Pelodiscus sinensis: one gene and its partners. The main gene of each other region encodes a partner of the protein of the gene in region 3 in a complex. Links are inferred from orthologs where the notes say so. Each region holds a gene or a part of one and is shown on either strand. Other genes may lie near its edges. The genes, in order: NUP37, SEH1L and NUP43.

Region 1 (10,154 bases), on a different chromosome or scaffold from region 3:
ACTGTGACGGAGGGAGGGAAGGAGAGCGTTTCAGCTGGGATGGAGCGCCCTGCTCCCTCGCTTGCCCTCCTTTAATCAGTTAACCAATGCTTAACTAGTTAGCCAATTCAATAGGATTTTATATCCCTAATCTAAACACAGACCCATTATAAAAAAAGCACAAGTGGTTTTGTTCCAACATGCTATTTTATCAGTGCCTCTTGATTCATCATTAAAATCAGGAATTAAAAAAAAATTTGATAAAAACATACTAACCTGAAATCTGCAAGTTCCAATAACTACATAATTATTGCCACCATATGCAATTAGGGAACCTATGTCTCCACTATCAAATGGATTGAATTCTACCACATGCACATAATCCTCACAATCCACAGTGTAGGTAGCATTTCGAGAAGAGTCTTGCTTCATCTTCAACAATAAAAATCAAGTTAGCACTGAGGTAACTTCTTTGGTAGGACAAAGATCTATATATCAAAACAAACATATACATATAGAATCTGCCACAGTAGTGTATCAAAACACAACATTCATTTTTCAGTATATACTAGGGGTATGAAAGGGTAACCAGTTTACCTGTAGGCATCACCCTTCGTAGGTGATGCTTACCGGACACTGGTTAACCAGTATCTGGGAGCAGTCCCATGGGAGTCAGGAGCTGCCCTTCCCCCTCCTCCCCCACTGCACAGGGAGTAGGAGACAAAGCAAGATGTGCACGGCTGCTGACTCCTGATGCTGGTCCCCCATGCAAGGGAGCTGGCAGCGGGAGTCAGGCACCTTGTGCATGGGGGAGAGGGGAGTATGGGAGCAGAAGCCATCTCCCCCCCACCCCATGGCTGCTGGCTTCTGCTGCTGGCCCCCCACAGGAGGAAGGGGACAGCAGCAGTCTGCTTAATCAGTTAATCTTAATGTTTAACTGATTAATTGGGATTTTACATCTCTAGTACCAAGTTTTAACACTCTCTCCACTTCCACCCCTCAATAAATCAATATTCAGTAAAGATACTCCTTCAATATAAAGCTCTAAAACCAGATGAAACAATATTTCCAACAAATTTGTTGAGTACAGGCAGTCCCCGGGTTACGTACAAGATAGGGACTGTAGGTTTGTTCTTAAGTTGAATCTGTATGTAAGTCGGAACTGGTGTCCAGATTCAGACACTGCTGAAACTGACCGCCAGTTCTGACTTACATACAGAATCAACTTAAGAACCCCAGGCATCCCCAAATCAGCTGCTGCTGAAACTGATCAGCAGCTGATTCCAGGAAGCCCGGGGCAGAGCAACTCTGCCTGGGGCTTCCTGTAGTCAGCGCTGGTCAGTTTCAGCAGAAGCTGACTTGGGGACGCCTGGGGCAGAGCAGCTGGGGTGCTGCTGGGTTGCTCCAGTAGCGCCACTCCTGGGTGCTAATGGACCAACCTAGCAGCACCCCATCTGCTCTGCCCCAGGCGTCCTGATTCAGCCGCTGCTGAAACTGACCAGCAGCGGCTGAATCAGGACCTGGGGCAGAGCAGCTGGGGTGCTGCCGGGGTGGTCCAGTAGTGCCCAGAGCGGGCGCTGCAGGACCAATCGGCAGCACCCCAGCTGCTCTGCCCCAGAGTCCAAAACAAAAGCCTGGTCTGCTGGGGGGGAGGGGGAGCACACTAGCTGCCCCCCCCCCCAGCAGACCAGGGACACGGGGAGCAAAGCCTCAGAGGCGCGGGGAACCGCCGCTGCTGCCGCTTCAATCTGGGTGCCTGTGGTCTGCTGGGGACCATCCCCAGCAGACCACAGGCTCCCGGACTGAAGCCGCAGCCGCGGGGGGGTCCCGCGCCTCTGAGGCTTTGCCAGAGCAAAGCCTCAGAGGCGCGGGAACCCGCCCGGTGCCCCTGGTCTGCTGGAGACGGTCTCCAGCAGACCAGGGGCACCGGAGCAGCTTATGAACGGGGCTTTCTCGCCCCGACTTCCGGGGCGAGAAAGCCCCGTTTGTAAGTGCGGATCCGACGTAAGTCGGGGACTGCCTGTATTACCAATTCAGATCTGCTGTAAAACTAGTGGTTACATGTAGTTTGAGACAGTTTTCTTTATCCAGTCCACTAGCATTCAACAGTTTACACTGATGTGGAGGAATCCTCACATTTCCAATATATTCAAATCCCTAAGCAAAGTATATATATGAATTTTAGAGATCTCAGGGAGTTTTTCATGTGAGTAAAGGACAAAAATCTTCCCTGCCCCACTCTAGTGCAGAGGATAACTACATTTTAGTGGTGCTACTTAATTTTATAAGCACACTTGGCTTAAAGATACTCCAAAAATGCAAAATAAATGTCAGAAAACAGAACTGTAAGGCTTATTCTATACTATGAAATAAGGCTGATGCAAGTTGTCTTGTGTCAATGTTATCTACGCATGTGTCTAGATTTGTCTCTGATGGACAAATGCACATTATTAATCCAGACATAGTCAGTTGGCCTTCTGAGCTCCTCTCTGCTTTCAGTGAGGAAAAAGGCAAATGATGGATGCACTTCTCACAGTTCCTTGGAATAAGGCAGTGGTCACCAACCAGTAGATCAGGATCTACTGGCAGATCTTGGAACCTTTGACAGGTGATCCTGAGAGGTTTGGCCAGAAGGCTATCAAGTGCTGACACTTCCTCTGCCCCTCTCAGCACTGCTGGGTTGCTCTTGCCCTCTGCCTTGAAGGTGCTCCTCACCTCTGGGAGTCTCCTGCTTGCTGTGCAGGGCATGGAAAGAAGAAGGGGGACTGCTGATGTTAGGGTGCCCCTCCCCCCACCCTGTACTCCCATCTCAACAGAGCAGAGGGGGGCAGAAATGGAGAGTTTGCTGGCTGCTTTTGGAAGTGGTGCAGGGCCAGGGCAGGATGTGAGCCTGCCTTAGTCCCTTTTACCACCACCCAGAAGCCATCTGTGGTAAGCAGTGCCCAGTTGGAGCTTGCATTCTGAACCCTAGCCTCTGTCCTGAACCCCTCCTGTACCCCAAACCCCTGTCCCCAGCCTCAGGAGTGGCTTGAGGCTGGCTGCGGCAGCTGGTGTCCCAGGCAGGCGGCATAATTGGCGCCCCGCCTGTACAGCCTTTAATGGCTGTGATGTCATCACAGGGCACCCGGGCCAGCGGTGCTCTAGGCAACTGCCTAGGTCACCTAGGCTCACGGGCCGCCCCTGCCCAGCCTGATAAAAGTGAGTGAGGATGGGGGAGGGAGGATGGAGTGAGCAGGGCCTCAGAGAAGGGACAGAAAGGAAGCAGGGCGAAGGTGTTTGAGGTAGATCCTGGACTGCATTTAAATTCAAAAAGTGATCTCATGCTTAAAAGGTTAGAGATCATTGGTATAAGACCTATTAGAGCGCTGAACTCAAGTACAAATAAATATCTAGCAAGTTAGGAGAGCAAACAAATTGATAAGGAAAAAAGATTCAAAGGACTGAGTTAAAACAAGTGGAGTTGTCATTCGTTAAGAGAAAAAATTATGAATAATTTTTGGCTCAGTTTCTTTGGTCACGAAGGATGTGAAAATATAACTGTGTACACAGTTAACTGATGAGGCAGGCTCATGGATTAATCTTCATGGTTTCACACAGGCTCCCAGTATGCTTCAGCTCCATGGGAGCGGACTGCTGCTCTGTGCGTAATGACTGAAAATTTCATACATTTACTTAAACACATTTTAACATCCCTATTGGTCACCTGTACATTAGTATCCTATGAAGATTTCAAATGTTATAACCCAGTAGAGTGGGAACTCATCTCTTTGGGGGAAGAAATGTCGGGAAAGCTTCATCAATGTTGCTAAGTTGTGATTTTATGATGAACCTTGCCCTATTTGCAGAAACAAGGATAAATCCTGTGGCACCTTATAGATTAACAGATTTATTGGAGCATTAGCTTTCGCGGGCGAAGACCCACTTTGTCCGTGAATTGGGTCTTCGCCCACGAAAGCTTATGCTCCAATAAAAGCTTATGCTCCAATAAATCTGTTAGTCTATAAGGTGCCACAGGACTTCTCCTTGTTTTTGCGGATTCACACTAACACAGCCACCCCTCTGATACTTGCCCTATTTAGCATTCTTCAGGTCCCAGCTCCTGGAGTCAAACATCTCATCTAAAGAAAGTCTCTGTTAGCTGCAGAGGAAAACACTTGAGAACCGAATGTATCCAGGAGACTCCAAACCCACTGGGCGAATTGAGCCCTCCCCACCCAACACACATCTCCCGAAAACGAGGGGCCCGACCCACGAGGGGTTAACGTTTGGGGCTGGCAGCAAAGCATTATTCCGCTGGGAGCGCGCCCTGGCAACACGGCGCAGGCAGGCAGGGAAGGAAGGACAAGCCCGCAGCACCCAGGGCACAGCTGGGAAAGGGACGGAGCGTGGCGGGGACCAGAGAAGAAGCGGAGACGGGGGGGGGGCGGGGGGCTGAGGGAGAACAAGGGCTGCAGCCCAGAGAGCCCCGGACAGGGTAGACTCTCCAAGGGGCCCCTCCCACAACGGGAGCGAAGGCCTGGACACCAGCGGGTGATCGCCGGCCGCGCCAAACGACATACGCGCGCGCCGCCACCTACGCACATGGATGGCTCCCTACCGCCTGCCACTTTCTCTCCCGCGAAGAGTTTGTAGGCAGCTCACGGCCACTTCCGCCCCCCGGGCACTTTCCGTTTCCGGGTCAGAGGCAACTCCTCCCCCCAACTTTGATTGGACAGCTGGGGTAGATTTAAATTTAAACCGCCGCCAGCGGCCCGGTGCGTGCGACTAGGTAACCAGGCAACCAACCACTCCTCCTCCCTCCCACCCCCCCCCCTTCGTTCGGGACCTGCCGAGCTGTCCCAGCCGCACAGGTAACTCACCCGCTGTTTGGTGGCCGCCAGGGGGGTCCATGAAAGGTCCATGAAAGGGCGGGGTGTCCCCAGGACTGGAGTCTCCCGTGGCCTGGGTCGTTCCCCAGCAGGTGCTGCCCCCGTCCGACTAGGACGGCGGCCGTGACCGCTGCCCCGGGCCGCGTCTCTGCGCAGACTCTGGCGTTAGAGGTTCGTGGGGCCAGCCCTCCAGGATTGCCCGGGAGCCTCCCGGAATTACGTCACGCCATGGGACGAAATCTCCAGGAATCCGGCGAGCCAGCGTTGGCAACCCAGCCTCCTTCCTGATTGGGGCTCACTCGCCTGGGGGGGGGGGGGGCTATGACAAGATGATGCCAAGGGACGGCACTATATGGCAAGGAGCCCCCTGTGGCCTCCTCACCCCTCCTAGGACTGTGTCAGTTTTTAGTCATGTCCCGTTCCCGTCTCCTTCCCAGAGCTGGATTTCCAGGTAGGGAGAGGACAGAGGCATGTGCCTAGTGGTGCAGGTGTGCGGGTGCCTACCATTTAAAAGAGGGTTAAAAGTTTCAGTTTTTACAGGAAACATGAAGGTGTAGCATTGTTTGGAAGACTGTGGGTCGGATTGGTCCCATTGTCTTAAAAAGTAAACTAGACTGGGGTGGAGGAACCTAAGACTTGGGGTCCAGATGTGGTCTATGCCTTGCCTGGATCTGGCCCACAACACTGGGGAACCTGGGCTGGTGCTCCAGCCCCCTGCCAACACCCTGCAGGGCTGGAGCACATAAAATGTAGTAGCCCAGGCTCCCCATGAAGGGTTGTGGTTTTTTTGAACATTCAATGAAATTAAAAGGTAACAAATTCAAAACTGAGAGAAGGAAATAGTTTTTACATAATGTCTGTCTATATATAACATGTTTTTTCCTGTGGGACAACAGAACAATATCTGCATCTACAGGCTCTGCCCTCGCACGAGCTACCTGCCCTGGATGCTGTTGAGGGACTGGCAAAGCTGCCTGGCCTGGGCAGATTCTGCTTCCCAGTGGTCCTGCCCACTCAGGTCTGGCTGCAGTCTTTCAGGCAGCCTATTCCCCAGCCCAGGGGCTGCTTTGGCTGGTGCGAGGCCCAGGGCTCAGCCCACTCATGACAGAAGCAGAGGAAGGATCCCACACTCTGGGGCACCACAACTTACTCTAAGGCTGTTTGCTTGCACCACTACTGTTCTTGATGCTCATGGGCTGCTGGTCCAGCAGGCTCAGGACAAGCACCAGGCACAGGGCAAGATGTCCTCCATTCCCAGTTGCCCACTGCCCCATCCTCCTCTGTGCCCTGAGTGGCCACATCCTGAGCCCAGGGCCTAGCTGCCCTGGTGAGATCCAAGCCCAGCCTGTCTCCCAAGATCAGACTGGCTTCCTCCTGCCCAGCCACATGCGAGGCTGCAGCAATGAGTGGCACTTCTGCAATGTAGATGAGGGAGGTGCCTGGCAGCACTTACCTGAGAGGCCTGGGCCCCCTTTGCCTGGCGCTGTAGCCTCTCCCTCCCTCCTCCCCCCTGCAGTTGAAGCACCAGTGCTGACTTCCCACTGTGGGGGGTGGGGTGGATGGAGAGAGAGCCCTGAGCCTTGCTGCATGGAGAAGCGCTCCCTCACCTAGGCTGGGAGGACAGCAACGTGCCAGCTCGCTGTCTGGAGACTTTCCCTGCACTCCCATTGGCCAGATTCTGGCTAATAGGAGCAGCGAGAGGCTGAACTTCTGACTGGCATGGGCCTGACGACAAGTAAGTGCCCCAACTTCCTTATGCTGAGACCCTGCACCCCCAGCCCACTCATTCACCAGCTCCCTGCCTAGTCCCTGCATCCCCAACCCACTCCTGTCCCCTCCCAGGTGTACTGCACCATTCCCCTCTGGCCAAACACCCTGTCCTCTTCCCTGTTCCTGTCCCCCTCCTCCCTGGCCAGATCAACCTGGTCCTGCCCCCTCCCCTCTGACAAGACACTCTGTCTCCACCCCTGCTCCTGCCTCTTCCCCCATGGCCAGACACCCTACCCCCAGCTGGTTCCTCCACACTCCCTTGCTCCTGCACCCTCCTTCCTGGCCAGATTCCCTACCTGGCCCCAGGCTGCTCCTACACACTTCCTCCCACCCAGACCTTGCACCCTCAGCCCCTCCTCACCCTGCTTCCTGCCGAGATCCTGCTCCTCCATCCCTATTTCACTCACTGGCAGCCCTGTCCCACACACTGAACGCCTCATTTTTGGCCCCACTCCAGAGCCTAAGGGGTTCAAATCCTCAGTCCTCCTCTCCCTCTCCTTCTCACCTCCCCTCCCCCATGGGGCTGGAGCTCCAGGGGAGTGAGGAGTTTCAGTTGTGGGCCACATCAGTGAGGGTTCAGAGGCAATGCAGGGTCTGCGATGGAGTTTGGGTGCAGGAGGGTGTTATGACCAGTTGGATACAGGAAGGGACATGAGTTACAGGCTCTGGCCAGGAGGTGTTTATCATAGGCGGCTCTCAGCCAGTGGCCTACGGGGGAGCACTCAGGCAGGCTGGCTGCCTGCCTTCTGCAGCCCCTCAGGCCACTCAGAGTGGCCCGCTGCTAGGGCAAATATGTCTCTGCATGCCCCTTGGAGAGTGGGGACAACAAGTCTCTGTGAGCTGTTTGTTCCCGCAAGCACCACTCATGCGTCTCCCACTGGCCTGTTTCCAGCCAATGGAAGCTGGGAGGATGATGCTGGGGGCAAGGGCAGTATGCAGAGACCCACTGCCCCATGCCATCAAGGGATGCACACATACAGATGTGCTTGCCCCAGCAACCGGCTGCTTTGAGCAGCTTGTGGGACTGTGGCAGGCATTAACAGCTCAGAGGATCATGGCAGATTGAATCTAAGTGTTTGGTGGGACAAATCTGGCCTGCAAGCTGTATTTTGCCCACCCCAATGTGGAGGAAGTAATCATAGCAATTGCCTAGCATTAAAGAGAACGGAGACAAATTGACAAATATGGGATGCTGTGTCCCCAAATTGTTACTTAGAAAATTATGGTTTTAAAATTGCATTTATTTGTATGGACTTAAGTCATTCTCTCTGTGTTCCACTTCAGGAATATGGCCGTCTTTCAGCAAAAGATCTTAAATATGATCAAGTGTTTTAGAAGACAGTGGTGCTTGTTTTCTGATTCAGAAAGGACTACTGTTTGTGGTGCAGACTACATGATGATGGCTTTACAGTTATCAATGGCTGAAGTCAATAAACAGGTTTGTACTCTGTCAATGGAAGCGGCTGGGTGATTAGCACTTTTGAAAATCAGACTAAACATAACAGGCATTAATAAGCTTTAGGAGCTTTAACTTAAGGCACACATTTTAAAATATTAGTTTTAAAATTTTAAAATGTTAGCTTTCTGATTTTTTTGTTTGTTTTGTATGCGTAATTTTTCATCTTCAGTATTACAATGATATTTCTGCGATTTGCTTTTTTCATGTAATTTCTCAGTCACTCCCTTTTCCTTCAGTGTTCCTTCTAGCCACTAGGGGGTAGATTCACAAAAGAGCTCACTGTAGTAATGCTGAGCATTGCCTGTCCTAACATTCAGATGCCTAAAAAATCACTGGTATTCACAAAGCTTGAGTTTGATGCCACTGTACAATGAATGGGGAGAAAGAGGCAACTCAGAATGGGATTCACAAAGTCAGCATGCTAGGTGATTCGTTGCTTGAGGCGCCAAGATGAGCAGTGCGTACTAAGCCCTGTTCCTCTCTTTACAGTACTTAGGAATTCTCAGGGGAAAAACCTTTTTAGCATTAAGTGATTCTGCTGTTTTACTAAGAAGCTGGAGTGAGGAGGGGAGAAGGAGGACCTCCCTCATAACTTCTGGCCTGTGATTAGGTGACTCACCTGGGATAGAGGAGAAATGCCCCTCAGTTCAAGTATCTCTCCGCTGTAGATTAAATAATGAAATAATTCAAACATGAGTAAGTCTAGCCTGGAAGTGAGAGCACCCACCCAGTAGGTAAGAGACCCAGGATCCAGTCCCCCTGCTCTAATAACTTTTAAACATTATTTATACATACTGGAACAGCTTCAACAGGAAAGACGGAGGGAGCTTCACATCCGAATATCCTGTAGCATCCCAGTGGTTAGGGCACTTCACCTCAGAGGTTGTAGATCCTTGTTCATAACCATTTTCTCCTTGAGGCAGAGGGAGGACTTATCCTGGGTTATGAAAGATTGCCCCTAATTGAATATTTAATTGCTGATCTTACAAGTTCTAAAGGTAATCCTTTCTACCATCCACCACAACCTTTTTGTGACTTCACCTATGGAGACCTAATCTGTTTGGTGAGTTCTGAATACCTGTTTTCCCCTCAGTTTGTGTATTGGGCCATGTCTGCTCTACAAAATTAAGTCAACTTAAGTTAGGTTGACCTATAGCAACTGCAGTAATTAAATTGGTTCTTTGTGCCCCACATTAAACACCTTCTGTTGGCAGTTTTCATATTCAGAAGAAGCACTTGTACCAATTTAAGTGAGGCTCTGACAGCTGGAGTCCCACCATCAGAGGGGTAGTGGGATTTGGGCTGTAAAGGCAGCAATAGGCAATATAAGAAATGTAGCGTCTATACTGACACTGTATCAACTCTACTACATCAACCTAAGTGTGCTACACCTTTTGAAGTGCTGAACTTAGTAGATCAGTGCAGTGGGCAACTTACAATGATGGGAACAATATAGTCGTGGAGATGCTTACAGAATTAAGTTGATATAAGATGCTTTGGGGCTTAAGCATCAGTGGTGCATGTTTCTAGAGCCCTGTGTGGATACAAAATTTATATCCACAAAAATGTGCCATGGATATCTGCATCCATACCGGCAGATGCGGATACCCATGGATATAAAGTGGATATCTGCAGATTTATAGGGCTCTATGTATTTTCCAGTTAGCTGCCTTTTTGTGCCTTCTGCTCTTGGAGAAGAGTGAGTCATTTTGCTTGAGGCCCTCTTCTGTTTGTCTCTTCACCACTTCTCATGAAGCCCCAGATTCGATTTCACTGGAGAGGTCAGATGTTTGCTACTACTATGGCTAGGACTTTACCTAGAATGATGATGTACTGGCTTAGTTCCTTATAGATCAGTCTGACCAGGGAGTGTCACTGATGCTGAATGAAAGATTAAAGCAGTTTCCCCTCTAAAGGATGAAACAAAAGACAGGACTATGCAGCACTTTAAAGACTAACAAGATGGTTTATTAGGTGATGAACTTTCTTGGGCCAGACCCACTTCCTCAGATCAAATTGTGGAAGAAAATTGGCATGACCATATATACCCGTGGTCCCCAACACGGTGCCCGCGGGTG
Region 2 (10,640 bases), on a different chromosome or scaffold from region 3:
AGGGTTAACTCCCGGACTGGCACCGAGTGGGGACAGAGCACCTCCCCTTATCAACTAATCATGTCGTCAATCCAAATTGTATGAACTATATGATTAGTCAATTACTCAACTTTTAGCATCCTTAGTTTCACAGTCTGTTGTGTTCTCACCCCATTGATACTCAAGGTAAAAGTCAATAACTAAAAAGTGAAATTATGACTGCCTACATGTGTACCAACTATAAAGGTTACTCCTGCAAAGCTACTTTGTGGAGGGGAAAAAATCCATAATGTTCCATTGTGTCCAAGCAATAAGATAACTGTGCAATTGGAAACAAAACTTTTGTATCGTAAAATCACAACATTCCCACTACAGTGGCTGAAAATTGTAGCTTAACACTGTTGATGTGAATAATTTTTCAATTCTTAAGCAGTGATGTTTGTAAACAATATTTATATACACTAGGGGGCTGTGGCCTCCCCCCCCCCCCCCGCTCGCTATGCTCACCAACCCCCTCCCGCCTCTCCAGAGCACCAGGCAGGCCACGTGGCTCCTGCCCCCTGGAGCACTGGGGAGGGAGGAAGGACCCCCGGCAGCTGAGTGGGGGAGGGCTGACGGGACACAGAGTGACGTGCTGACATCCCTCTGTAGTCCCACAGGAAACATTTTTTATATATAGAGAGAGATTATAAACCTACCTAGTCCAGCAAGTTTTAATAAATAATTTTAATACGAAATTGTAACTGATGCCCCCTCCTTTGTAGGCTACTGTGAAATAATAAAAAGAACATGAAGCTGAAGGTTGAATTCCTTACTTCCAGCTCCTCTGACTTAAGTATGATCTCAGACATATCACAACCTCTTTGCCTCAGTTGCCCCCCAGACAAAAATGTGAGATAATCCTTATCCACCTTTACCATGTTGTCAAATAAGATCTGGAGGTCATTACTGGTTAGTTCAGAGGAATAAGTACACTGAATCTGGAATTTATTCCTGGCCCCCTCTCTCATTCACCATTTTATCTTACGTAAATCATGTTGCCACTCACCCTGATTATAACCAGTTTAGAGCACAACCATGTTACAAACCAGTGGTCCCCAACCTTTTGGGGCTGCCGAGTGCCCGGGGCAGGGCCACTCTAAAACCGGGGACGGGGCCACCCATATGCCACGTGCCCAGTGCTGGCGCCACCCGTGAGCCGCACTCTTGGGGCTGGCGCCGCTCCTGTGCCGCACGCCCAGGGGTGGGGCTGACCATATACCACACATCCGGGGCCGGCGCCACTCCTGTGCCGTGCGCCCAGGGGCAGAGATGCCAATACGCTGCGCACCCAGGGGCTGGCACTGCCCATGCACCTGGGGGTGGGATCGGCCCCAATCACTGGGTGGGCGCACAGAAATGGCCCAGCAGGCGCCATGGCACCAGCGAGCACCGCATTGGGGACCACTGTTACAAACCATTTCCTAGATTTACACTCTATTTATAGAGCAGACAGACTTATAGAAGCACTGGGAGGCATTATACATATAAATCTTTTCAAGGTTCTCTGATAAAAAGGTACTTTTTAAAATGCAAAGTAGGGATATACAATCCCATTTAATTAGTTAACTGGTTAGACATTAAGTTTGACAGATTAACTGATTAAACGGGTGTGGGTGGGGGCTGTTCCAGGCCGCTAGGCTCCCATGGGCTGGGATCTGGCAGCCTCGTGCAAGGAGATGGGACAGAAGATGGGGTGGGGGAGAAAAGATGAGACTGCTGGCTCCCAGCTCGAGTCGAACTGCTGGCTGGCAGCACCCTCTTCCCCCACAAGCCTGCCCACTGACAGCACACAGGGCTAGGAGCTGGCAGCGCTTCCCCCACGAACCTGCCAACTCACAGCCCACAACCCTGGGTGGGCTGGGAGCCAGTAGCCATCCTGCTGCCATTCTCTCCCGCTTGCCCCCACCCGCCACCCTGGCCACACACACCAGCCCTTCAGGCAGCTCCCTGACACCCATTAAGGCAAGAGTGGAGAACTTCAGGCCTGAGGACCACATGCGGCCCTCGGCTTGACTGGATCTAGGCCCCCCCCCCCCCCCCCCCGCTCAGCGCCACCCCCCATCATTGGGAGCTGATGCTGGTGCTCCAGCCCCCCTCCTCCACCCCTGCTACCTCACTGCAGGGCTGGAGCACACAAAATCTATTAGGCTAGGCCCCTCTAGGCTCTGGTGTGTGAGGGGAACATAAGGAGTATCTTTCTCCTTCTCAGTCAGGGGCCACATCAGTGTGGGGTTTTTTTTGTGTCCTCCCCAATTGTGTGCAGCCCCCCTCTCCCTGACTGATTTTTCTGTGGTTCAGTGACCCCAGACCCAAAAAAGGTTCCCCACCCCCACATTAAGGAATGCTTACCAGGTAACCATTTGCATCTCTAATGCAAAGTTACATTATAGAGTTCAGGCAACGAACACTGGAACTAAAGCTCTATTTTGAAGCATACTTCCCCCCCCCCCCTTTAACAGTCACCCATAACCTTCCCAAGCACATTACCTTCACGGATAATTTTTACAAACTTGTTCTCAGACCATAGTTGTTTAAGTTTGAGATAAATTAATCCAGTTATTTTTGAGTAAAAGGAAAGCTACAAAAACATGACTTCAAGACTTTGACCAGCCTTTAATTAGCTTCATATAACTTAAAAGCAGCCAATACTATATATTCCCAATTTGCCATGATTTTAATACTCACTGAGGGAGGAAACAGCGAATTAAATATTAAAGTACAAATGTTAGGTATCGTGTAATTGAATAGCCATGTAACCACATGAAATCTTAGTGGTTACAGGACTATTCGAGAGTCCCCAGGGGTCTATTTGGAAAACCATGGGAGGGTGGGCGGGCGAAGCCAATACACTCCCAGCCACATTCTCGGGGAAGCTCCTGCCTCCTCATGCTGCTGCCTCTATGTCAGAGGCAGCAGCAAGGAGCAGCTGCAGCCCCTGTCCCCAAAGGAGCAGAGCTCCCCATGGACAGAGGCTGTTCCATGGGATGCAGAGCAGTCTGTCTGTGGGGAACTCAAGACCCCCAGCAGACAGAAATGGCTCTCTCAGAACACCCTCTGTCCACAGCAGATCCAGGCTTACCGCAGACTGCAGCTGCTCTGTGTGATATGGAGCCGCCTCTATCTGCAGAGAGTTCGGCCACTGAAGACAGAGGCTGCTTCGTGTCAGCTTCCTCTGCCTCCCCCACCCCTGCTGCCTCTAGTGGCTGGGGGTGGGGGAGGAGAGGGCACCAGGGAGCTAGTGCTGGATGGAACCAGCTTTAAGCCAGCTCTCCGCAGCACCAGCTCCTGCCTGCCTCCCCTCCACTGCCACTGTAGGAGGCACACGGGGGGAGGTGGGGGGGGGGGACAAGTCTGCAGGAGCCAATATGCATGGGGAGCCTGCTTGAAAGCTCCCCATGTGTACTAGCTCCCACCTGCCCCTTCCCCCCATACTACTGCCTCTATCAGAGAAGGCAATGTGGGTGCTGGGCAGGCAGATCTGGTGGTCACGGGGAGCTGACTTAAGAGGCATCGGGAGGAAATAGGTGTAGTCGACAATTTTAACCACTAAACCCAGGATAATTGATTACCATTCACTTGTCTACACTGTGACATCCCTATATGAAAAGAGTATTTTTAAATATGTGCAAATTACATAATCCAACTCTGATCCTCCTGCCAGGTAACACTCCAGCGTCTCCGGTAAGGTGCTCCAGCACGACGTTTCTTTTGCCCGCAGTCTCTCACCCTTGCTCCCTGCAGGGCTTTGAACAGGACGGCGGGCTCGCTAGCCAGCAGGCCGCCGACACACGTGGCAGGGGGGAAAGGCTGGCTGGCTGCCGCCCCTGCCCCGCGGCGCTGAGGGGGCTGCCAGGAAACGCGCAACACGCGCACGCTGGGGGCACTTGCTGCCCAGGGAGGCCAGAGCGAGGCTCGGCGAGCAGGCCCGGCCCAAGGCGGCGGCGATCTCCTCGCCGCACCGGGGGACGCGCGGCGGCCCAGTCGCGGTGGCTCCTCGGCGCCCCAGCCGGGGGCCCGGGAGACATTCCCGCCGCCTGGGCCTGGCGCGCGGCTCGGCTGGACGCGCGGGTCACCCCGCCCCGGCGAGCCCAGGCTGGCGCGGGACATCGCAGCCCCGCCCGCCCTCCCCGGGCCCTCCCCGGCAGCGAGCGGCTGGGCAGGCGCGTCCCGGCGGGGAAGGGGCCGCCCAGCCCCGCGCACCTTGACGCTCTGGTCGCTGGAGCAGGTCGCCATGCGCCGCCCGTGGAAGTCGAAGGAGACATCGTGGATGAGGTCGCGGTGATCGGCCGCGATGCTGCGCGCCACGAACATCCCCCGGCCGGGCCGCGCCTCGCTCCCCCGCCGCCGCCGCCGCCCGGGACAGAGCCCGCCCGCCTGCCCGCCCGGCGTTCCAGGAGAGCGGGCGGCGCGTGCGTGCCAGCGGCGCTTCCCTCGCGCTCCGCCAGGGGGCGAGCCCAGGCGTCACGCGCCGCGCGGGGGTGGCTGCGGCCGCGAGCGCTGGAGACTCTGAAGGGAGCGCCAAGTGGCCCCGCCTCCTGCTGCGCGGCTCTTCTCGGGGCTGATGCGCCGCCTCCAGCCCAAGCGACCTTCCAAAGGGTCTCGTAGGGCCATGGAACTGGAAGGGACCTTTAGAGACCATCTAGTCCAGCCCCGCCCGCATGGCAGGACAAAGCACTGTCTAGGTCTCGGAGCTGCAGGGGAGAGCCCAGTTAGTCTGTTACAGAAAAAACAACAAGAAATGATCTGGTAGCATAGGCATGTGTGCGCAGCACATTGCATTAGGGTGTGCGCCCAGGGAATTCTGTTTCTTTTAAAGGCGAACATTTATTGAAGACTCAATCATAAAGGACATTATTTTTATTCATCAAACAAACTAAAGAAACTAAACAACTAAACTTAATTTTTTTAAAATGGGTGCAGCGGGGCTGGCCGGGGAAGATCGGGAGGAGGAACCAGCCAGCAGGAGGTAGAGCTGGGGGCGGGGGTTGGGTACAGAGGGCCTGGTCCGGAGAGATCAGAAGAAGAGGGGAGAACTGGCCATTGGAAGCAGGGCTGGCGGCGGGTGCAACGGGGCTGGCAGGGGAAGATTGGGAGGAGAAGTGAGGGAGAACCAATTGGCCAGCCAGGAGGGAGCAGGGCGGGGGGAGGAACATATCAGCGGGTGGGGAGCAGGACTGACCCAGGAAGTGCAGATCCCAGGGCGCTCCTGCCCCCTGCACAGTCCAGGTGAAGCACGAGTCAGTCCGGCTGTGGCTCCACCACGCGCTTGACCAGCGCGCAGGAACGCAGACCGGGCTGCCCCTCCTCCTCACATGCAACCAGGCTCCCAGCACCGATCGCGCCCCGCCTCCCAGCCACTCCCTCCACCAGGCTTCCGGATGCCCAGTCGGAAAACCAGAAAATACCAGCCATGTCTGGTATTTTCTGGATTTTTTTTTACTGGACAGAGCCCCAAAAAACCAGACTGTCTGGTAGAAAACCGGACACCTGGCAACTAAAGACATTAGGGTGTGCCTGCACACACCCGGCATACCCCATATGCACGCCAGTGTCTGGTAGCATTTTATAGACTAACAAAACATGTCGATGGTATCATGAGCTTTCGTGGACATAGCCCACTCATAACTCCGGTTATCTGAAGAAGGGGGCTGTGCCCACAAAAGCTCATGATACCATCGACATGTTTTGTTTGTCTATAAAGTGCTACCAGACCATTTGTTGTGGGTTTTTTTTGTCTAGGTCTACACTGCCGCTTTTTTTTTTTTTTTTTTGAAAAAGCTACGCAAAATGAGCTCTGCATTTTGTGTAGCTTTTTTCTGATTCTTTTGTTGGAAGAGGCTTTTCTGACATTTGGCACGTCTAGACTGGGCCAAATGTTGGGGGGAAAACCCTCTTTCGGAAGCCCCCTTATTCCTTGTGGAACGAGCAATACCGGGGCTTCTGAAAGAGTGCATTTGCTCTTCTGCAGAAAAAGCGGAAGATCAAACACGTTCCCTGGATGCGGAACAGTTTTTCCAGGATACAGAAAAACTGTGTAGTCTAGATGTAGCCTCAGTCTTCTCTTTTCTAAACTAAAAAAGCCCAGTTCTTTCAGTCTTCCCTCACTCACCTCATTCATCTCAGTGGCCTGGCTCCCAAAGGCTTTATACTCTGCAGTAATTGTCTGTATGTAAAGGGACTGGTGGCCCCTTACTAGGTTGTCCAGATTTCCCTGTACTGAATCCAGGACACCTGGAAAAATTACTTATTCTAGCAAGCTTAACAGCAGTTAATTGTACAAACATTCAAATTAACATTAAGTTGACCAAGACTCTGTTAAAAAGCAATACTGCAGAGTTGGATTTTTTTAATTTACCTTCTTTAAGGCTTTATGGTTCACACCAGGAAGCTGGTCATCTGAAGAAGCGGGCTGTGCCCACGAAAGCTCATGATACCATCTACATGTTTTATTAGTCTTTAAAATGCTACCAGACTATTTGTTGTTATTTTAAGTTTTACCAGGAAGGAAGACACTCCCCTACTCCCCACCACAGAGGAGGAGGTGGCAAACTCCTGAAACCTTTCTCACGCAATGCTTTTTTTCTAAAAAAAAAAAAAAAGTTGCCGGTACTCCAGGGGAAAAGTTGTTGAGTTCTGACTGGAGGTGCTGGTACTGCATCTGGAGGTGCCTGTCAGGGCCGGATTAAGGGGGGGGCTAGCCGGGCCATGTGCCCGATTGCAGCTGTAAGGTGTGCAGCGCGCCAGGGGGCAGGGCCGCGCATGCGCCATGCACCTGGGGCAGAGCCATGCATGTGTCACGCGCCTGCTGCCCGGGGCACAGGAATGGCTCAAGCCGGATCTGCTTGACCAAGTGTCAGTTCACACTGACAAGCTGGTGCCAGACTGGAGGTGAACTTATGACCTGTTTGCTCTTCATTCTACCCTAGGGGAATATCCAGTCTTTGAACATTGCCCTCATTTCAGGCTGCAACTGAGATCAGGACCCTGCTGTACTAAGCATGGTGCAAGTATACATGAAGAGATAAATCTTTGTCCCCTCCTCCCCAGATCCAAATCCTCAAAGTTAATATAAGACCATAATAATTACTATACTGGGTCAACTCAAATGTCCATCTAGCCCAGTATCCTGTCTTTTGACAGGGGCCAATCCCAGGTGCTCCACAGGGAATGAACAGAACAGGTAATCATGAAGTGAACCACCCCCTGTCACCCATTCCCAGCTTCTGACAAACAGAGGCTAGAGCCACCATTCCTACCCATCCTGGCTAATAGCCATTAATGGACTTTTCCTTTATGAACTTATCTACCTCAATTTTGAACTCTGTTAAAGTCCTAGTCTTCACAACATCCTCTGGCTAGTAGTTCCACAAGCTGACGGTGCATTAAGGAAAGAAATACTTTGTTGGTTTTAAACCTGCTACCTATTCATTTCATTTGGTGACCTCTAGCTCTTGTGTCATGGGAACAAGTAAATAAGTTCTTTATTAACTTTCTCCACAGCAGTCTTGATTTTATAGACCTCTTTCATTTCCCCCTCTTGTAATACCAAATAAAAGCAAGCAGGATCTTATGAGGGGGATAAGGCAAAAATCCACATTTATTGTAAAGATAATAATAAAAAAATAAAGAAAAGATAGAAGCAAACAACATTGTTTAACTACTTAACCCTTATACATATAAACATTCATTCATCCATTCATTCAGGTTCTGTGTATTTGTTATAGTTACCAGCCTGGGAGTTGCTTGTGACAGAATACTGGCCAGGTATTCTGTACACAAGTGATGGTAGTGGGGAGCAAAGTCCTGATCAGATGCGTATCTGAAGCTCCTGGTAGGCTGGCAGCAGAACCTTGGACTCTGATTCCATAGTTTTTTAGTCCAGTTCTTATAGGAATTTCTTCCTATGCCAGTCTATGGAAATTGCTGCATCATGCTGATGTCTTCAGGGTGGCTGCCAGGTGCTCGTCAGTGATCTCATCGGGTGGACCTCCAGTACTTGGTTTTCTCCACTTGACACCTTTTGGTTGCACTGGCACCTGATGCCTTCTTCAGCCCTTTGTTGCTGTATTCTCAGGCTGGCACCTCTCAGAACCATTCATTCATCATACAAGCACTCTCTCTCTTACATACATTCCCTAATTAATGTTTCCTATACAGTATTTTGTATAATAATAAAAGTTGTAGTTACAAAAGTTTCTGGGTGGTATTGATTAAAACAGTCTCTGAGTGCTGAGTAAAGTTACAATGTTTTAAAGAGAACAGGCGTCAATTATGTAACAATGCCCTTAGTCAATTACAGGGCTTGGCTTCCATAGCAGAGTTAGTGGCTTGACAATGCATTGTTCCAATGTATCTCTGCAATGTCAATTTCAAGCAGCTCCCTTGCACAAGCTTGAGCATGCCCTGGGACGGGGGGGGGGGGGGGGGGGGGGGACGGGGGGGGGGGCTGTTTCTGGCTATATAGGATTATATTCTTAACAGTTCTAAGTTACATGACCTAATACATTATATTCTAAAGGGGCAATAATAATAATAAATCTAAACATTTAACAATCTTAACAAATAAGAAGAAGAAGAAGAAGAATTAATAATAAATCTAAACACTTTAAGTTGTGGGGAATAAATTATGGGGAGTCACTTCCATTTGGGGGAATCATTTTCAATACATTAATATGTTATCCCTACACTCTTAGTTGTCTCTTTTCCATGATGAAAAGTCCCAGGCTACGTCTACACTGGCACCTTTTCCGGAAGGGGCATGTAAATTTCACCAGTCGTCGTAGGGAAATCCGCGGGGGATTTAAATATCCCCCGCGGCATTTAAATAAAATGTAGGAATAAGTAGGAATAAGACCCTCCGGAAAAGGGCACTTTTTCCGGAGGATCGGGGCCAGTGTAGACGCTCTTTTCCGGCTTTTTTAAAAGCCGGAAAAAAGCGGCGGACATTTTTATTTAAATGCCGCGGGGGATATTTAAATCCCCCGCGGATTTCCCTACGACGACTGGTGAAATTTACATGCCCCTTCCGGAAAAGGGGCCAGTGTAGACGTAGCCCCAGTCTTATTAATCTTTCCTCGTATTGCAGCCATTCCTTACTCCTGATAATGTTTGTTAATTCCTAAATGCCACTGAAATGGGTCTGAGCCCCCTTCATGAAGAAAGATTCGATCAGTTGCATAGTCTTTGTGAAACTTTTGAATTTTTATACGATATTGGAAATATTAAAAATCAGTTTTCTAAAGAAGATCTCATGAAGCACTGCCAGGACCTACATTTAGCACTCAGTACTGATAACTATGCTGACAGTGATGGAGTAGAATTGTATGATGAATTAGTAGCTTTATCTGAGCTAATAAGTCCTAAAACTTCTCCTCTAAAAGTATTAGAATTTATAGCAAGAAATGATTTTTTCACTCCAAACACTGCTATAGCAGTACGCATTCTTTTAACATTACCAGTATCAGTGGCTTCTGGTGAGTACAGCTTCTCAAAATTGAAATTACTAAAAAATTATTTGAGATCAACCATGTCTCAAAATCGTTTGCCAGGACTCGCATTAATTTCAGTTGAAAGTACCATTGCAAAAAATTTAGATATTACTGACTTATTAAAAGGCTACACAAGTATAAAAACCAGAAAAATTCAGTTCATATAAATTCTTTTAATTTAGGAGAAACTGGGTGCACCGGAAGACACTAACGTTTTTCATTACAGTGTATCGTTGAACCCAAATTATTTGTAATTGTGATTTTGTTAAAATTAAATGAGTACACTAGTAGGAAATTGTTTTATTTCACTAAGTAAAAATTTTCTGTTTTAATTTTTTTTAATTTTTAAACAGTCAAAAACAAACAAACCAACAAAATTGCAAAGTGCAAATATGTGTAAAAGCCAACAAAAAAGGGGAGGAGGTGGCCAAAATTTTTTTTGTTTGGGCCGGCAAAAAAACTAGAGGCGGCCCTGGTAACAAGGTGTGGCAGGAGCCTCCAGCAGCAGCCATGGTCACAGAGGCCCTTGGATGGGATGCTGCCCAGAGGCCACGCAATGGAAGAGACGCATCAGAGCTGGTAGGAAGGTGCCCAGGGCGGGGATTGTTCCTCGCAAGCTCAGTGTGTGGCGGTCGGAGTCCCTGCTCCATGACCAACAGGGCCGGGGGCTTGGACCCAGTGGAGCGGCAGAACCTGGGTCCAGCTAACCCCACCGCCCGTAACAAGACAGTGCCCTGTAAGTGTACACTCACCTCTGAGCTAGGCCCTATTGCTCCCAAAAGAAGGGACTCACCTATGGACTGGGCCTCTGGGCCGTATTTCTCAGGAGGGAGAGGGGTCTCACTTCTCAACTAGACCTCTAGGCCTGGTGGCCTCGAACTGAGGGGACCCATCTGGGTTCAAGGCCATAGAGTCGCATAGGTGTTAGCAGACACCCCTACGGATGTGGCTGACCAGCCAGGTTAGCACTGAGTGTGGGGAATTAGCACGGCCTTGGAGTAAAGGCCAAGCAACGCTCTTGGAAGGGGTCATCTTGAGGGGTAGCCACCACCTGGTTGTGCCCCCAACACAGGGGCTTAGGCAACTGGGGGTCAGTTGGAGCATTTGTGCTGCCCAGCTCCCATCAATGGC
Region 3 (10,176 bases):
GTGCCGCCCCCCGCAACGGCCTCGGGCCGTTCAACGCTCCCAGCCGCGCTCACCAACGGCTCGCGCCGCCGGGGCTCGGTCGGGAGCCGCAGCCTCGCCGGGGCCGGGACCCCCGACCCGCTGTGGGCTCTCACCGGGCTCCCAGCCCCGGCCACGCGTCGCCCCACGCAAGGGGCGGAGAGGAGGGGACGCGGGGCAGGCGGGGTGACAACAGCCGCCGCACGGCAGCAGCTCGGGTCGAGCCTGAGCCACCGCCGCATCGCCAACAGCAGCGGCGGGCCCCCAGGGCGGGGCAGGTCCCTCCCTTCCCCCTTCAACACACAGACGCGGCTGCGGCCCCGCGCCCACAAGAGCCGGGTCCCTCGCCAGCGCGCCCCGCCCCGCCCGCTCAGTGACAGTTGGTCTCTTCCCAGCCCAGGAGGCAACGTGACGTGCTTGGGGCCGGTAACGGCCGAGGAGGGGGGTTCGAGCTGTACACGCCGCGGCCCCTCCCTCGCCTGGCCAGCCGCAGACTCACTGCGTAAGTTGTGGATGAGCTCGGAGTGGCTGGAGCCTCCCGACTTCCAGGCCATGGCCAGACACACTCTGCGGAGCAGGTACAGAGCCGCCTTCAGCGCCGCGACTGCGCACAAGAGCTTGCCTAGGAACGACACAACCTCTAGCGCCGACCCAGGCGCCGCCTCCTCTCCTCCAGCCGCGCGCCCGCCAGGGGGAGGGGCCGCGCGCCCACCGCCCCGCGCGCCCGACATTCTCAACGGCCGCCACCCGCTTGCTCTGCGCATGCGCACCCGTAGAAGGGCAAGGGAACGCCATGGGGAGGGGGTTGAATAGCTTCGCTGAGGGGGGCGTCGGGAGGAGGTGTCGCAGCGTTCTCGCTGCCTCGTGATTTTAGCTGCTGCTCACGTATTCACTGCACGGGAGGATGTGTGAGGCCTGCATAGGGAGAGGCTGGGACAGGCAGTCGGGGTTAGGGGGGAGCAGCGGGTACAACCCCACTCTTCACTCCAGCAAAGACTGGAGTGTTTGACATTTGGGGCTTTGTTCAGGCCAATCTGTTATACAGGCAAGGGCAGAGATGTGAAGTTTGAACCTAATGCCAGGCTCCTCCAGAATGTGCAGAAGTGCTGTGGTTCTGGGGCTGGCCCATAGTTATTAAATGGACTGTGACAGCGAAGGTGGAGTTTACAGCTTTTTCTGTGACTTCCATCCTGGCAGTAGATGAGTGACAAACATGATCATTTTCTGCAGTGTCCTTGAAAAAACCGGATAAAACTAAGTCTCGGTGGAGTCCAAGAATGCAAAAGTTATATATGCTTGTAGGTCAGTATTATATGTACCATGCCTAGGGGGCAAATGTGTACCTTGGGACATTATTGATTGCTGTGTAATTACTATGATTATATAGCAGGAACTGGCAAGATATGGCCTGCAGGCTGGATAAAACCACAAAACCTTTTAATGTGGCCTGTGGCCCACCCCGTGATACGGAACACCTCTGCTCAATGCAGCTGATTGCTCCCTCTGGCTCTCTGCACTGCAGGAGTAGGAAAGGGAGAAGGAGGCTTCTCATGTTGCCTCTGCCTCCAGCAACATTTCTCTGCTCCGATTGGCTGGAAACTGATTTGCTGGGGGGCAGCACATGAAGCTTCCCTCTGCAGCGCATAGAGCCACATGGAGCTTTGAGTGGTCAGGGGCTGTATCCCTGCCTGAAAGTGCTGCTGGCTGGGAGCTGCATAGGCACCCCACCTCCATCCACGTTCCAATTCCCTCCCGGATTCTGCACCCTTTCCTACACTTGTCCTTCAGGCCAGAATCCTGCACCAGGTCACCAAATGCTCTACACCCTCCTGTCTCTCACCCCAGGTTACAATTCCTTCCCAGAACCTGCACCCTCTCCTACGCCCTTCCCTAGCCAGAAACCTGACCTGCATCCATACCCCCTCCCAGATCCTGCACCCCAATCCCTTGCCCCAGGTCACAACCCCCTCCTCCCAAATTCCCTCTCAGACCCCAGACCTTTTACATCCCAGTCTCCTGCCCCAAGTTTCCTTCTGCACTCAATTTCCATCCCAGAACCGCACCCCCTCTATAGAAAAGTGCAACCCTTGATTACTTACTAAAATTTTGAAGTGGCCTCCCCATCAAAAATTATTGCCCACCCTTGCTGTACAGCTAATCTGTGTCATTCTATTGATTGTAATGAGTCAGTGTTTTGAGGACAGTTAAATACATGACAGAGTACAGGCAGTCCCCGGTTACGTACAAGATAGGGACTGTAGGTTTGTTCTTAAGTTGAATCTGTATGTAAGTCGGAACTGGCGTCCAGATTCAGCCGCTGCTGAAACTGACTGCCAGTTCTGACTTACATACAGAATCAACTTAAGAACCGCAAGCGTCCCCAAGTCCGCTGCCAGCTTCCCCGAGGCTTTGCATAGCCGCGGGGCGGGGGGGCTCGGCCAGCAGGGCATCCCAGGCGTGCCTGGGCTGCCCCGCTGCCCGAGCCCCTCCGCGGCTTTGCTCTGCGTCTTCCTGGTCTGCAGACCAGGGAGACGCAGAGAAAGCCCCAGAGTACACGGGCGGCAGGACCGCAAGGTCCCGCAGTCCGTGTACTCGGGGCAGCCTCGTTCGTAACTGCGGATCCGACGTAAGTCGGGGACTGCCTGTATCTCATTGCTAGACTACTTGGTCCACTTGTCACTGACCTTTAAAGATTCTATGGCTGCATGCTAGCTTAGATATCAGTACTTGAAAGACTTCACATGGCATTGCTATCTTGTCTGCACAACAACTGAGGCAGGTGCATTCGGGACATCTTAAAGTGCACACACATACAATGGGCCTCAAGGAATAGGCTCTCCCTTTACATAACATAGATGTCACTAACACAGACCTCTAAGCAAGTACAGTGAAAGCTTTGTTATCCAGCACATGTGGAGAATGCGGGTTGCCAGTGTGAATATGCCGGATAACAAAATGTATCACCCTGCCCCACTGACACATCTAGCTCCTGACAGCTTGAGGCAGGCTGAGAGGGAAGGAGGCACCTGCTGATGATGTCAGTTGGCAGCGCAGGTTGTCAGAAGCCCTGCAACGGCTGGCTGGACAGGCAGGAGTCAGGTGCACGTGCCTGAAGTGGTATTGTTGCTGGGGGCAGTTAAAGTTTTCCAGTTAGCATAGTGCCAGATAACACATTTTTCATTGTAATTCAATTGTAAATTATGTATTAGAGTAACCAGTATTACTTGTCAATAGAAAGTTTAGTGTTTATATATGATTAAAAAAAACTAAGGAAATTTTCAGAAAAGAACTTTAAGGCTGTTTTGTAGTGATACCACAAGGGGGAAAATATGTAAAAGAAAACAAATTAAGGTTTCAACAGAAGTTAATTTAATCTCGTCTGGGACATCAGACATTCAAATACCATCATAACTATATGATTATTGCATGCTGTCATTACAGGGCCGAGTAAAGGTTGGTTGGGTGCCTACATTGCATTTTTGTATTTTAACATGTTTGGGTTTCTCTGAATTTCAAGAGTTTATAATGCTTGTTTTTGTGATTATTACAGGTCTTCTAATTTTTTTTCTTCTCTTAAGTTACCAATGCATGTTCCCAGCCTTTACTGCATCTTAACGTACTTTTTGTCTGAGAATTTATACTGGTTTGACATTTAATTAAGGCTTATAGCCCTTGTTCCAAGCAGTTAAATTCGCCCCCAAAATGACAACAGACTCCCTAAATTGGGAACTGGGAAAGTGACAACGGTGAACTGTGGAGTGGAAATGTGGGGGCTATGAGAGTGATTGCATCTAGCAACATATCAACTCATTCCTTTAAGATATTTAATTTAGATAACATTAGGGAGTATAGTTTAAAACTCCATCCAACCCTAGGGCAACATAGGATTTCTGCTTTTAAATGGCCTACAAAAATCTACATTAAATTAACTGCAAAATTAGGAAATACCAAATTAACATTAGACTGAGCTATGAGTCAGGGCTATGGATATGCTACAGACCTAACAGTGGTGCAGCTGCACCAAACTAAAGGTTCTAAAAATAGATTTAATCATTAAAGGAAAAAGAAAGAAGAGAAATACAAGTGATTAGAAGATCAATATACAGACAAGTGACTTCCAAAGTTCATCATTCAGGATCAGAGCAGTGATGGAATGAACTGCTAGCTTGCAAAATAGTATCTACAAGCTAATTTGTTTATATTGTTAAACTTCTGACAAGATATACATGTAAATACAGATGAATGCCCTACCTTTGATTTCTGTTACTATAAATAAATGAATTGATTATTGCTAGTCGAATACATCTATTTGACACTAGTGTCTTCTGTTAAGTTCTTACGGGTCGTAAACAGACTGACTGGTCTGTCAGTGTCACAAAATAAAGTATAATTCAAGGCAGAGTGGCCTGTTAACTGCTCTGCAGTTATAGGACAAAAAGAGGGGAGTACATGTTGTTGACATATCTCCACTGCTACAGTGACCAATACCTACCACCTCACCTTGGAACCCATACCTGGTATCTTCAGACAATTACAACCCATACTCAATGGGGGACCTCCATCCTAAAAGCTATATTTCCAGAACTTCCACTCCTGGCCTTCAAACAACTTCCCAACCTTTCTGAGATCATCATAAAAAATAAGCTCCCCCTACACTAGGACACACCAACTTAAAATCAATAAGAAGTCCGGTGGCATCTTAAAGATTAACAGATTTATTTGGGCAGAGTGTTTTTGCCCATAAAAGCTTATGCCCAAATAAATCTGTTTGTCTTTAAAGTGCCACAGGATTTCTCATTGTTTTTGTAAATATCAGCTCAAAGTGGCACCAGAGCCTGCCAGAATTACAGCTGCAAAACCTAGACACATATCTCTACTACTACAGTGATCAACTTTCCACACAACACATCTTTCAAGATATAGGGATCCTACATATGCCTATTACAACATACGATATACCTCATCCAGTGAATGAACTATGTGACTCAAAACATACAAACATTATGCTCTCAAACTCACACAGGAAAATGATAAAATACAAAAATGCCTTATCACCTCTGGTTGAACACTTCAGTGATCGCTCTATTTCTGACCTCTCAATTCTCATCCTCAAAGGACACCTGGCCCTTTTAAATTTCTGGGCTCTAGGGTAGTAATAGAAATGTAGCCATATTAGTCTGGTGTAGCTGAAGCAAAATACAGGACTATGTAGCACTTTAAAGACCATCTTGTTAGTCTTTAAAGTGCTACATAGTCCTGTATTTTGCTTGGGCTCTAGGGTAGTTGCTTTTTTTTGCTCCCACCATCTCATCTCCCCCCTCCCTACTATGTCAGTAATAGACCTAAAAGCATCAATGTCAGCTAAGTACAAATCCCAACAGGTGGTTACTTTCTTAGTAGTATACGGTACTAGTCCACTTTCACCTGTGGTATTAATGGCTAATCTGCAGGTCCAGAGTTGGCATGCTACACCGTAAATGTGGTCAGCAGGATCCTGTTTGAGATTTTTGTGAAGCTCTGTTAGGCTGTGTCTACATTGGCATGATCTTGCAGAAATACTCTTTAATGCAAGAGTTCTTGCGTTAAAAGCATTTGTGCAAGAGAGCGTCTACACTGGCATGTGCCTTTGCGCAAGAGATGTGCTTTTGCGCAAAAGCATCCGTGCCAGCGTAGACGCTCTCTTGTTCAAGAAAGCTCTGATGGCCATTTTAACCATAGGGCTTTCTTGCGCAAGAAATTCATGTTGCCTGTCTACACGGGCCTCTTGCGCAAGAACAGTTGCACAAGAGGGCTTATTCCTGAGCAAGAGCATCATAGTTCTTGCACAAGAAGCACTGAGTTCACACATTAGAACTCAGTGTTCTAGCACAAGAACTCCCCACCAGTGTGGACAGGCAGCATGTATTTATGCAAAAGTGTGTGCTTTGGTGCAAGATCATGCCACTGTAGACACAGCCTTAGGGTTTGGAGGAACCATATGGGTTAAATGCAAAATGACCTATGAGCACGAAGCTGGCCTAGGAAACAGGCAGGCGTACAGTGCAGTCCCCGCCCCAGGCAAGGTTCCATTTACTCCCGTCATGTCCCGCCCACCTCTGAGCGTAGTTGCTGCCACAGAGATTTGTACCTCCTCTCTTGCCGTCTGCCGGGAGGCTTCAGCCAATCGGGGAGAGCTTGGGCGGAAGAGGCGGGGTGACGGCAGCGGGAGCCTATCGGGGCTGCGGACGAAGTTTGTGCTTCTCGGTGGCGCTTGTCCCTTTCGTTGCCGCCGCCAGCATGGAGGATTTTTCCGCCAAATTCGTGTCCCAGAAGATCAGTAAGACGCGCTGGCGGCCGGTGCCCGCTGCCGCCCTGCAGCCCCCCGAGCTCTTCGCTACCGGCTCCTGGGACAACGAGGTACCGGCCCGTGGAGCCTCTAAATCCGCCCCCGCGCTGCTGTCGCGCCCCTGCCCGTGGGCTCGAGCCGTTATTAGAGCGCGTCTCGCTCCGCGCTGCCAGGGGCTCCCGGGTGGGCCGCTGCTCAGCGTTTGTGGGGGGCGGCGCGTTTGTAACAAGTGTCATCAGCGGGGGGTGCCGGGCGAGGCCGCGTTTGCCCCTTGCTGCGCCTCGTGTTGCAGCGGTGCCCCGGACCCCTCTTCTCTGAGCGGTGCCCGGAGCCGCCTCCCTCCTCCCTGCCACGGGGTTGGCGTGGTTTTCTGTATTTTCATATCCTACCGGTGGTACACGGGCTTTCAGCTTTCTCAGTTAAATAAGCTGAGCGCTATGTAGCTAATTGTGTGAGATCTTAACAGCTAAGCTCCTAGTTTCTCATCGTGAAGGCTGAAGCTCCTTGCTGCACAGTCTCTGTGTGTGTTTCGTTTGCCTGGCTTAATGACCAAAATTTCCTCCTCTTCCGTGTGTGGTGTGGACTGGCTCTCTCCTCCTTGGAACTGGCTGCATTTGGTGATGTAGATTTTATTAATGCTTAGCATTTTTCGAGATTAATATGCTGTGTAAATACACACCAAATATGGAATATTAATTTTCTTGTATATTTAATCTATCTCTATCAAAATGTAATAGTTTGTTAGTCTCTTTAGGAAGAGAGAAAATTGAGTTGACTTATTGTTTCTATTGTAGCTGTAGCTTTGTTGGTCTCAGGCTATTAGACATGAATGAAGTAATATATTTTATTGGACCAGCTTTTCTTTCTGACAATATTTTTGTAGCACAACATTCTACCTCTGCCATCTTGTCTCAACTGACTTTTATGGCAAGTGTGTCTTAAAATAAGCTTGTTTCACTACTCTTGTCATACAGGAAAACAAGATCTCAATTTGGTCTGTTGGAGACTTTGGAAATGTGGGCACCAGTGGGGAGTATCAAGGAGAACCACAGTTGCTGTGCGATATCAGACACCATGGTGATGTTATGGACATGCAGGTAAAATAGTTATATCCAGTAGCTGTTTTTTTTTTTTCCTTTCACTTTGTTAGAAAATGTATCAGTAGGATATCAGAATATTGAGAATCAACTAATGTCTGCTAGGGGGATATTGTCTAAATACAAAAAAATTATGTTTGGAAATTTATATGTACATTCTGAAATTATCTAGCAACCAGTAAGACTCACAGATTCACATAGTAATGCTTCTGTGATAATGTGCTCAAACTGTGTAACAAGCTTAAGATATTTCTCTTTAGTTTTTTGACCAGGAGAGAATTGTAGTTGCTTCATCAACAGGAAGTGTAACAATTTTCCGTCACCATCAAAATAATCAGGTAAATAATTTGTTGTGGACATAACTTTCTCTTGGTTTCAGTTACTGTTGCTTCTAGTACAAGTTTTTTTGGGGCTCTCAAATGCATGACTTTTCAGAACTATCAAAACATAACGCAGCTGAACTCAATTAGGGATATAAGTGACTAGTCAACTACCCGATATACATAAGCTTATCAGATAGTCAAGTAGTCACTCGACTAGTTGCTTCTCCCCCCTCCTAAAGCCAGATGGCCCCAGCACTGTCTCCACGGAGTAGCAGGGGAGGCAGAGGCATCCCTACTGTTGCATGCCTCTCTGAAATGTACAAGAGCCACTTGCGGCTCTTCTACATTTAAAGGGAGAGGCGCAGCGGGATTGCAAGTGCCCCCTGTTATCGACTAATTGAGCAGTTGATGGGAACTCCATCAGCTACTTGATTAGTTGATTAATCAACATTTAATATCTCTAAACTCAATAAGTTCTAAATTCAGTAAATCAGGAATTAGGTTATTTTTTAAAAAATGTGTAGAATAGTCTGATATAGGGATGTAACTGTATAATTGTTTACATGGTTAACTGATAGGCCTGGACTATCGATTACCATTAATGATTACACGCAGACTCCTGCCTTGCTCCCGGGGAGCTAGCTGTCACTCCACACTGATGGCTCTGTATCAACAGTTACACAATTACCCAGTTACCCCTTTTTAACACTGTGAGATAATGTTCCTGTCTATTGGTCACACTGACTCTTAAGAATAGAGCACTGAAAGATCACTGTGTCTGTCCATGGATATTCACATCTGCTGATAGAAATGTCTATCTGCACAGGACTCTATGCATTGGTGATTAAAAAGGAAAGCTATCCTCTGATCTGTAATGATGTGAATGACTCTTGAAATAATGCAGTGTGCTTTGTTTATTTCAGAACTAGTTTCTGATCTAACTTCTTTACATATTTCAAAAGCTTTGGTTTCTAACGCTGTTGCAGGATTGTTAATTAGCACTGTTGATACAGTCTCTTTATTTACTGCTTAGACTTTATCTATTAATCAACGATGGGAGAGGGCTCATTATCATGTGGATCCGGATATCCCTTTCTGTGGTGGAGCTTCATGTACAGGGGTCATCTGCAACAATCCAGAAATTGTCACTGTTGGAGAAGATGGTCGAATAAATCTTTTCAGAGCTGACCACAAGGAGGCTGTGAGAACTATAGGTAAGGCTAATAACCACTTTTTAACAAATGGGGTCTAAAGAATTTATCTGTACTCACAAAATGACCAACAAAAAAAGAAATAGCTAGTAACTTCAGAATTGTTCTGAATGTCTCAATAGAATCTGTAATGAGCAATACACTGGATCTAGAATATTTGCTATTTTACACTGCATTTAATCAATGCAAAAAATTCAGGCTTAGAACTACCTGCACGCATGCTTTTTTCCCAGCTTCTGCAGTCTTGCATTATTTGTCAGTTCTTTAAAATATATTTAAAAATATTTCCTTTTGAAACATAATTATCAAGATCTTGACCATAAGTGGTCAGTATGAACCCATTCTTCTTTCAGAGATGGTTTTTCTTTGTTCTGGACAAATTCCAATTTTTGTAATTTTGTTTTGTTAGCTTCTGGTATTACATTGGTCCTTCAGTTCTCTTGCAATTTTTTTGTGGTTCTGCGGTTTTCTCTGTTTGTGGGACACCCTTATTTGTACAGAAGAAACAATCCTCATAAGAGGTGAAATATATGAAGTAAACTGAAAAATATTTTTTCTCTAATTTTTCTGTAATAATAATACTGGATCAGTCCCTCACTTAAATATCTAACAGATTTTCAGATACATGTGTGTAGGAAGAGGTTAGGTAACTTTTCTTTACTTCTCAGGCAATGTTCCTTCTAATGTTTTATGGTCCGTGTACGGAATGCATTTTGTGTTCTCCAATACAGAAATGATGTGTGACACAACATGTCCATATTGGTGCATATAAATTCCGTGCACATTCTGCCTACTTAATAATCTTACTGTTAAAAAGCAGCTGCAATATAGGATTATTTACCATTCCATTCCTAATCGGGGGAGGGTGGAGGATTTTCTGTTTAGCTGATATGTTCAACATATGCTAAGCAGTCAGAGTGCTATACTCTCTCTCTCTCTCTCTCTCTCTCGCTCTCTCTCAAAAAACAAAAACAAAAGCTTTTCCTGCCACATGACAGGATGATGTCATCAGGCTCTCTGGCCATGAAAGTGGGGGATTGGCGAGCATAGCAAGCGGGGTTTTCATGACCAGAGAGCAAGGAGTTGGTGAGCTGAGTAAGCAGGGAGCATCCCCTAGTGTGACAATATTTGTATTAAAATCTACTGCACAACAGGGGATCTTAAAAAAAATATTTCCCTGGCCTTTTTAATGAAGGGACAGA

Evidence for each region.
Region 1: NUP43 (region 3) and NUP37 share a complex: the UniProt entries of both Homo sapiens proteins name them as parts of the nup107-160 subcomplex of the nuclear pore complex. The link is inferred for Pelodiscus sinensis from reciprocal best matches to the Homo sapiens genes NUP43 and NUP37.
Region 2: NUP43 (region 3) and SEH1L share a complex: the UniProt entries of both Homo sapiens proteins name them as parts of the nup107-160 subcomplex of the nuclear pore complex. The link is inferred for Pelodiscus sinensis from reciprocal best matches to the Homo sapiens genes NUP43 and SEH1L.

The regions. Positions count from the first base shown.
Region 1 is NC_134711.1:99,497,620-99,507,773, reverse strand, and holds the start of NUP37 (nucleoporin Nup37), read right to left. Parts: upstream 4,991-10,154; 5' UTR 4,881-4,990; coding exon 4,839-4,880; intron 4,830-4,838; exon of another isoform or gene 4,772-4,829; intron 4,718-4,771; exon of another isoform or gene 4,561-4,717; intron 4,118-4,560; exon of another isoform or gene 4,062-4,117; coding exon of another isoform or gene 4,050-4,061; intron 468-4,049; exon of another isoform or gene 412-467; coding exon 256-411; intron 1-255. Other genes in the region: PARPBP (PCNA-interacting partner), read left to right, coding at 5,177-5,298, 7,902-8,055. UniProt on the Homo sapiens protein: Component of the Nup107-160 subcomplex of the nuclear pore complex (NPC). The Nup107-160 subcomplex is required for the assembly of a functional NPC.
Region 2 is NC_134712.1:87,659,977-87,670,616, reverse strand, and holds the start of SEH1L (nucleoporin SEH1), read right to left. Parts: upstream 4,490-10,640; 5' UTR 4,333-4,489; coding exon 4,222-4,332; intron 1-4,221. UniProt on the Homo sapiens protein: Component of the Nup107-160 subcomplex of the nuclear pore complex (NPC). The Nup107-160 subcomplex is required for the assembly of a functional NPC.
Region 3 is NC_134713.1:106,458,094-106,468,269, reverse strand, and holds the start of NUP43 (nucleoporin Nup43), read left to right. Parts: upstream 1-6,186; 5' UTR 6,187-6,294; coding exon 6,295-6,414; intron 6,415-7,317; coding exon 7,318-7,440; intron 7,441-7,700; coding exon 7,701-7,778; intron 7,779-8,796; coding exon 8,797-8,977; intron 8,978-10,176. Other genes in the region: PCMT1 (protein-L-isoaspartate(D-aspartate) O-methyltransferase), read right to left, coding at 518-749. UniProt on the Homo sapiens protein: Component of the Nup107-160 subcomplex of the nuclear pore complex (NPC). The Nup107-160 subcomplex is required for the assembly of a functional NPC.